Linked DNA regions of Daphnia pulex. The protein of the gene in region 1 purifies or fractionates together with the protein of each later gene. This does not show direct contact. Links are inferred from orthologs where the notes say so. Each region holds a gene or a part of one and is shown in the gene's direction. Other genes may lie near its edges.

Evidence for each region. Proteins that work in one complex are often made in the same cells at the same time.
Region 2: the proteins of serrate RNA effector molecule homolog (region 1) and zinc finger CCCH domain-containing protein 18-like purify together in Homo sapiens (co-immunoprecipitation; 4 studies listed by BioGRID and IntAct, counting the BioPlex papers as one, with this or other methods). This does not show direct contact. The link is inferred for Daphnia pulex from reciprocal best matches to the Homo sapiens genes SRRT and ZC3H18.

Annotation. Positions count from the first base shown.
Region 1 is NC_060024.1:618,544-622,502, forward strand, and holds the start of serrate RNA effector molecule homolog, read left to right. Parts: upstream 1-1,130; 5' UTR 1,131-1,288; exon of another isoform or gene 1,289-1,405; intron 1,406-1,551; 5' UTR 1,552-1,579; coding exon 1,580-1,716; intron 1,717-1,775; coding exon 1,776-1,937; intron 1,938-1,995; coding exon 1,996-2,118; intron 2,119-2,188; coding exon 2,189-2,359; intron 2,360-2,919; coding exon 2,920-2,986; intron 2,987-3,045; coding exon 3,046-3,225; intron 3,226-3,297; coding exon 3,298-3,445; intron 3,446-3,512; coding exon 3,513-3,835; intron 3,836-3,901; coding exon 3,902-3,959. Other genes in the region: uncharacterized protein R102.4-like, read right to left, coding at 41-185, 293-498. UniProt on the Homo sapiens protein: Acts as a mediator between the cap-binding complex (CBC) and the primary microRNAs (miRNAs) processing machinery during cell proliferation.
Region 2 is NC_060020.1:4,875,983-4,879,582, forward strand, and holds the start of zinc finger CCCH domain-containing protein 18-like, read left to right. Parts: upstream 1-1,345; 5' UTR 1,346-1,488; coding exon 1,489-2,177; intron 2,178-2,233; coding exon 2,234-2,429; intron 2,430-2,497; coding exon 2,498-2,572; intron 2,573-2,639; coding exon 2,640-2,791; intron 2,792-2,864; coding exon 2,865-3,170; intron 3,171-3,254; coding exon 3,255-3,600. Other genes in the region: trehalase-like, read right to left, coding at 1-116, 276-616, 682-764.

The DNA of each region.
Region 1 (3,959 bases):
ATACAGCGTTACTTTGATTGATTTCATCAAAAACATACCCTTATTTGTCTTGAGCGAGATTGATGTCTTCAGGTGGGTTACTGCAGTGAACAACAATTATGATGTTCGTTTCAGTCATCGGGTAAGCAAGCCAACGAATATCTTGACCGATCCCGTGAACTTCCTTTTCAGTAGATTCAGCAAATCTTTTCACAATTGAATTAGGGGTAGCACCTGATATGGGCTCGACTTTTAGCATAACCATATTCGTCTCTACGGTATATCGATCAACTTCCACAACGCTTTTTCCAACCTCTTGCGCAGTAACAGCCAATTGACCAATTGTTTGGTGAAAATATGATCTTGAGCTACCCTGGTAGGTCCCTTTGAAAGTGACAAAATTCCGGCTGCGGCCAAAATACCCGCCTGCCGCATTCCTCCTCCAAGTGCTTTTCGACAACGATGAGCCTGAGTATGAGTGTTATTGAATACCTCCAGTTCATGTTGATATCCATCCATGGTTGATATTTTAATAGATGGAATTTATGTTGCATAAAGGGCCGATTTCACAGCAAATGACACTGCATCATAAGGGTTCTCTCCACATTCATGATCTATTTTAATGCCATTAAAATGATTCATGAGAAATTGTTGATTGGTGGAAAAATGAGAAATTGATGATTGGTGGAAATATTGACAAATTCCCCCCAAAAAACCTAAACCCCGTGAAAAAAACACCCTATCGGGAAACTCGCGCGCGAAGCAAGGGATCGGCATGTGTACACACTACGAACGGTGCGATGGTTTAGCCTAGCATGTGGCGCCACGACAATTTAATTTATCATTAGATCAATTAAAGCTATAATTAGGATTAAAATATAAAATTCATAACAAATACAAAATAAATAATAGAATGTAATAGCTAGTTGAATCTTGCTTTTGCCAATGGTGTTAATAAAAAAATCTTTAAGACTACTTTCTTACTAGGTACATTAGAAGTTTAATTCATAAATGATCCAATTATTAGAAAAAAACATTGGTGAAAATATATTTTTTTGTTATCTTATTAGTTATTACAAGAAATTAACTAGCTTAGCGCTTAGCGGCCTTAGCCTATGTCGCTTGTCAGTTGTCTCTCAGCCCAAGCCATGTTCTTCAGTTACTGATTATTCAAATCATAAGGCAGTAACAGTTTTACCCTGCAGGCGACAGCACTTGTATTCCTCAAACTTTCGTTGGCACCAACGGGCAACGGCGTTCTCAGTTTTCTTCTGATCGCGTGGCGAAATCAAACTAAACGCAAATTTGGGTAAAGTTCGAAGAAGATATGAAATTTATGAACATCAATAGTTTTATAGCGAGTTCTGTAACTTTGTGTGTGAAATTAAGTTTTTTATTTTACTTGCGTTGGTATTTGAGTATGCCGGTACATCGAATTGTTCTTATCAAAAATCATCTGCATTTTCGGCCATATTGCCACTTAGTTGGCAGTACTTTTACTTATTAGTTGATTAATTGATGCTTAATATTATAAAACATTAAACTAAAGTTTCCTCTTTTTTTTCTCCATAGCTTAAGAAGTAGGTCACCAACCTGTACCATGGGGGACAGTGATGATGATTATGATCGTCGCAGAAGGGATAAGTTTAGAGGAGAACGAAGTGAGTACCGGGGAGCTGGAGAATCTGGAAGGAGAGAAGAAAGAGGCAATCCTAGGAGAGAAGAGTGGAATGATAGGTTGGTTTGACAAATGCTCTGTTATTTTTAAGCTGTTTAGTCCAATGCATGTTTCAAAGTAGAGGCATCATGGAACCGAGAAGAGGTGAATCTTGGTCTCAAAGAGGGTCTCGTTCTCAACCACGTCACGAATATCGCGAATCTTACAGAGGTCGTGAAAGATACAGCCCAGCAGGTGGGTATGATGCACCACAAGCTCCAAAAAGGATGAGGCCTGACTGGTATGTTTTTCATACTAATATTATGCTGCCATTTATTAATCTTGTAAAATGGTTTTAGGGAAGACAGGCGCTATGGATTTGATGCTGGTTATGGGCCCAACATTGGCTCTTCATGGGGTCAGAATGAACCAGTCATTAATACTCCACCAAACGCTGGAAACTTTAGTGGATCTTCTTCAAGGTAATGTTTTTATGGTAATTGTTAGTTGTGTAGGGTTAATAATAATAATAAATAATGCCTGATTTTCCAGAGGGGAAGAATTTCCTACTCAACCACCAATGATGTCCTTTAAAGCTTTTCTGGCTGCCCACGATGATTCAATCTCTGACGAAGAAGCAGTTAAAAAGTATGCCGAGTACAAGCTAGAATTTCGTCGTCAGCAGCTGAATGAATTTTTCACAAGCCACAAGGATGAAGAGTGGTATGTTTTTGCTTGTTTTTTTTCTTGTTTTTACAAGTGTTAATATCAAATTTAATCAATATTTTAAGAATTTCTTATAAGTTTTCTTTTAAAGACTTGTGTGTTGTGTATTGCATTGAATTTTTCTGGTAACTAAATTATTTATAAGTTTTGCCGCGTGTAATCGGATTTCGGATAACCAATTTACATATATTTAATCCCCCCTGTTTTTCAGCCGATTGACATAGCTGCTATTGACGTCCCTCCGTTTATTTCAACCATCTCCGACCTTTCTATAAGGTGCCATACCATCTGTCAAAAGCTACTTGAAAATCAATTTTTTAACTGTGTGAACATGAAATGAACAGATCTCCAAAGTGTGCGTTAGAGTAGGGTTCAACTGCGCGCAATGCAGTGGTCAGTTAGTAGCTAGGTTATAAAAAATCCGTACCGGGAGAACAGGTGAGGGAAATCTTGGCCTCTTGAAAAGTGTGGTCCCTAGCTGGTTATTTTAATTCGAAGTTTTCAACATTAATTCTGTTACTAATTTGTTTTATTATATTTTCCTCGAACGAATGTAGGTTTAAGTTGAAATATCACCCGGAAGAGAATCAAAAACGGAAGAACGAGCATAAAGCTCATATTGAAGTAAGTTGTCTCTAATTTTGACAGATTCTGGTTGTAACTAATCAATTAATTCAATATAGTTACGCATGAAAACTATTTTGGATTTAATGGCTGAGGGTTCTTTTGATCAAGTGACTATCGATGCGGATCAGTCAGAAAAGCTAGTAAAACTTCTTGACACCGTGGTAATTAAACTCGAAGGTGGGAATGAGTTAGATCTTCAGGTCCTTGACAACCCTCCTCAACCAACCGCCGATAAGGTTTGTCTATTTAATTTCCTTTAATTGGTTATAACTGATTTTTTAAAAATCATTTCACTTTCATAATTGAAGCAGCCTATTAAAATCCAAGAGAAGGTTATCAAGGAGATTGAAGATAAAGAAAATGATGATTTGGGCGAAGGCGACGATGCTAAAGAAGATGGTGTGATCGAGGACTCCAAAATGGAAATTAGCTCTGACCCAAAAAGTCCTAATAACAGTAGGAATTCATTGTTATTAATTTTTGACGCACTGCCTTACCAGTATTTTTTATATTTATTTTATAGGTGGCAAAAGAAAACGAAGCGGATTTGAATCGGATAGTGGAAGCGACTGGGAGCGGGAAGGAAAGGAACAATCGGAAATATCTGAAGCTCCTCAAAGCCCTGATGGTAAGCCAGCTGGTGGTGAGGGTAGTCCTAGGGAAACCGAAGCAGCTGATGAAATTCCAGTAAAAGATGATGCCAAAGAAAAAGTTGATGAAGATGAAAGCAAGGAGGAAGAAAAAAAGGAAAATGGCGGGCCAGTTCTTCCCCGAGAATTGCATCGGACTGCCTCCATATTTCTCCGTAATTTGGCACCTACCATTACCAAACTGGAAGTCGAAGCGGTAATGAGAGTTTCTAATTTTTTTTGTTAGATTCAGTTTTCTAATCTTTAGCTTTGTTTAATGAAGATGTGCAAACGGTATCCTGGATTTTTACGTGCTGCTATTGCTGATCCTCAGCCAGAAC
Region 2 (3,600 bases), on another chromosome or scaffold:
TTTTACGATCCAATAAGAATCCCAGTAATAGGATTCTCTGAATCTTCCACCGGGAACAATAAATGGATTCGGAACATATACAATGGAGTATAAATCAGGATTATCACGAACGTCGTCTAGAATTACAACACAGAGCCCATAGTCCAAGCAGTGAAAGAGAGAACACCAGCAAAGAATAGAAATTTAAAATATGATTCTCTTATCTGGCGGAAAGAAAACTGGACTGCAATTTAAGGAAATCAATAAAACCATAATGTTTCTTTTTAGACCATCACCTTTTATCTGTCGCCCGAGAGATTTCCATCCTTCATGAAGACGATTCCCCCAATTGCGGAACTCTGAATTATTAATTTGAGATAGAAATGGAGGATCACTGATCCAGTCCGATGGATCCCAATTCTGGAATTCCAATCCTTCAGCTTCAAAATTGCTGTCAACAAATGCCTGTAATTCTTCTTTGGTTGGCTGGTTTTCAGTGTCGGTCATGAACTGTGAGAAACTAGTTAAGACTATTTCTGGATTAAAACGCAATTTTTTATCCACAAAAGTTTTGGAATCTTTGTATAACTCCGCGTTTTGGACAGCATGCAGCAGGGGTCCATAGCAATAAATTTCGCTAAAATTAAAACGTAATTCTGGTAATTAAGCAATTTCATTGTTAGATTACAGAAATTTTCTTGCCTGGGGCAGGGTGGTGGCAGTTGAAAAGTTGAAGTTGAAAAGGTCCAAGCAATTATTGCTAAAACGGTAATTAATCGAGACATTCAATAATATGAATTTTAAATGTTTTGCTTAAAAAAGAATGTAAAATGTTTGAGAGAGGTTAAGCATGGAGCTAAACATGCAATGGGCCAATGACTAAACGAAAACGAATCAAGTGACTAAACGAAAATTATGTTTCGTAATCAAAAGGCTACGATAGATCAAAAACTTATCAGTCTTGTTTTTGTCAATATTTTCAGGTCAGATAACTCTACGATTGATTGAACATTGGAAGTTTTGAACCCGTCCACCGAAACTTAAAAAATAAATGATAACTCATGTTGACGAAAGCAGAAAACTCTTTCGTTGAGTATTGACTCAACTTAAATGGCTAATGATAAAAGCGCAAATCCGCTATCCGCATGATTTCAAACCTTTCTTTTGTGCGCGCACAATTGTTTCAGCGTTGCCAAAAATAAAAAAATTTAGTACCTTATTATTTTCCAGTTTCAACTCTTTGAGTGAACCAAATCTAAAAAAAATAGTTAAAAAAATTTAAATACTTTCAAATAGTTTGCGTCTGACTATAGAATAGATGATAAATGTATTGAAATGTTCAAAATTTAATTGGCATCATATATTATAAACAGCCGACAAAAAACGGGGCTGTCATGGCGGCTTAGTTGCAAGCCAGGTTGTTTGGATTTTTGGTAGTTTTTCCCAGTTTGTTGGCTAAAGTTAGTAATTGATGGTTACCACTGTTGTTTAACGTATATTAGTAAAAGAATGAGTCAAAGCGGTTTAAGTGCTCCAGCAAGCCCGGATCCTGACTTGTCTGGAACCAGTTCAAGCATAATCGAAGGACAGTTGTATACGAATTCGCGTCCGGAAAGCCGAAGCAGCATTAGCAGCAACTCCATGGTTGATCAGGACCAAGCCGCTGAATCCAGTCGTCTGAGTTCAAACGTAGATGAAATTGATAGAAAATCTGATAGTGGAGAAGTGATTGGGCTTGATGAAAATGCCCAATCAGGTGGCTTGCTGGATGAACATAAACAAGAGTTAATGGCTTCAGATTCAAGCAAAGAAGATGAGGATAGTCTTGAAATGGTATCAGATGATGAAATGGAAGCTAACGAAAACTGCAAAGATTCATCTAGTAAAAAATCTCCTCAAATTTTGGATCCATTGATTAAAGACACTGAATTAGACTTTGAAGAAGATAATCTTGAAGAAGAGCCCAAAAAGCCGATTGAAGACAGAAAGCCTGAAAAAGATGACGAAGATGGAGAATGTGATGGAGAGAAGCCACAGAGAGAAAAGGAAGCAAGTGAAGAAGAACTAGAGGAAGGTGAAGAGTTGGAAGAAGGTGAAGTTAGCAGCGAAGAAGATGTTGGCAAACATGCACGCATGGAACCTAGGCCTGTTTGTAGATTTTACAGTAAAGGCAATTGTACTTGGGGTAATAATTGCAGGTAAGAACTAGTATTTTTCTTTTTTTGAAAGAAAAAGTATTGATATTGTTTTACAGATTTGTTCATCCTGGAGTATTAGACAAGGGAAATTACAATATGTTTGCTCCTGCACGTCCATCTGCCCATAACGGGCCTTCAGCACCCTACGAAAGACCTTTTGATCGACCACCGGTGGTTCCACTCATCCCGCCAGCAGAGTGGGCAAATTCTCAGCCAAGGGTCGCTAATCCTCGACCTCCACGACATCCACAGGTACACGGTTACTTACTTTCAGCTAAGTCAATTTTCGTTATTTGAGAAACTTCATTTCTGAATTGTAGCCGGCCGAGCCACCTCGGACTGATGCAACCGGTGCTGAATCACCTTGGGAAAGAGGACTGAGACAAGCCAAAGAGGTATGAGACAATGCCGTGATTATTTAAGTTTATTGCTATGGGTTCATAATAAACGTTTTCTTTACAGATGCTCAAAAAGTCCAGTCATCGTAAAGAAACTGACATTGACTTCGAAGAAAAAAAACTAAATTTAGGTTTAGGTGAGGAAGAATTGGACAAAGAGAATGACTACTACACTCGACCTGCTAGTCCAGTTTTACATGGAGACGTCCCTCCTCCGTAAGTTAAATCGCACTGCATTAAAATCTGTTTAAGAGTTAAATAGGATCTGTTAATTTTTTTACTCCTCTAGATTTGAAGAGCCAGATACAGAACCATACCATAAATTTTTACCTCCATCAGCTGAAGGGCGATGGCCTCCGTCACGCTACCCGCCTCCTCACCGCCACCCCCCACCTGGTTACCCTTATCCGTACGAAGGCCGGCGACCTTACCCACCAGAATCAGAGTATAGAGAAAGGGAATACTATCATCCGGAAGGATATGAGCGTCCGCACTACTACGGTCCAAAACCAAGTGAACGAGATATCCATCCATCTGCCAGTAAATCCCAACCTCAACTTCCTCCCCCTCACGAAAAAAGATGGTCTGATGAGAGGTCAGTTTTAATTGATGCAATGTGACTGCGTCTGTAGAACCAAAACAAAATCCTTTATTGAACCTTTTAAATTGTTCAATATAGATACGTGGAAGTTGTGCCTCCAGCTCAGCGTGGACGTAGTGATGAATGGTGGGATCCGTGGATGAGATCAAGATCTCCTGGTGGTGCTGGAGGCGGAGGTGCTGCTGGTGGTGGTCCATCTTCAAGTGCAGTCGTTGGCGCCGGAGGAAATTCGGCTGGAGCTAAAGGTTCTAGACGACGTAGCTATTCGTCTGGGTCATCTTTTTCAACATCGTCGTCGACATCGAGCTCAAGTTCGAGTTCATACTCGAGCTCAAGCAGTCGTTCCAGTCGTTCCAGTGCTAGCTCACGTTCCACTTCAAAATCTAAATCAATGAATGTAAAACGACGGCAAGGACGGAAGGCA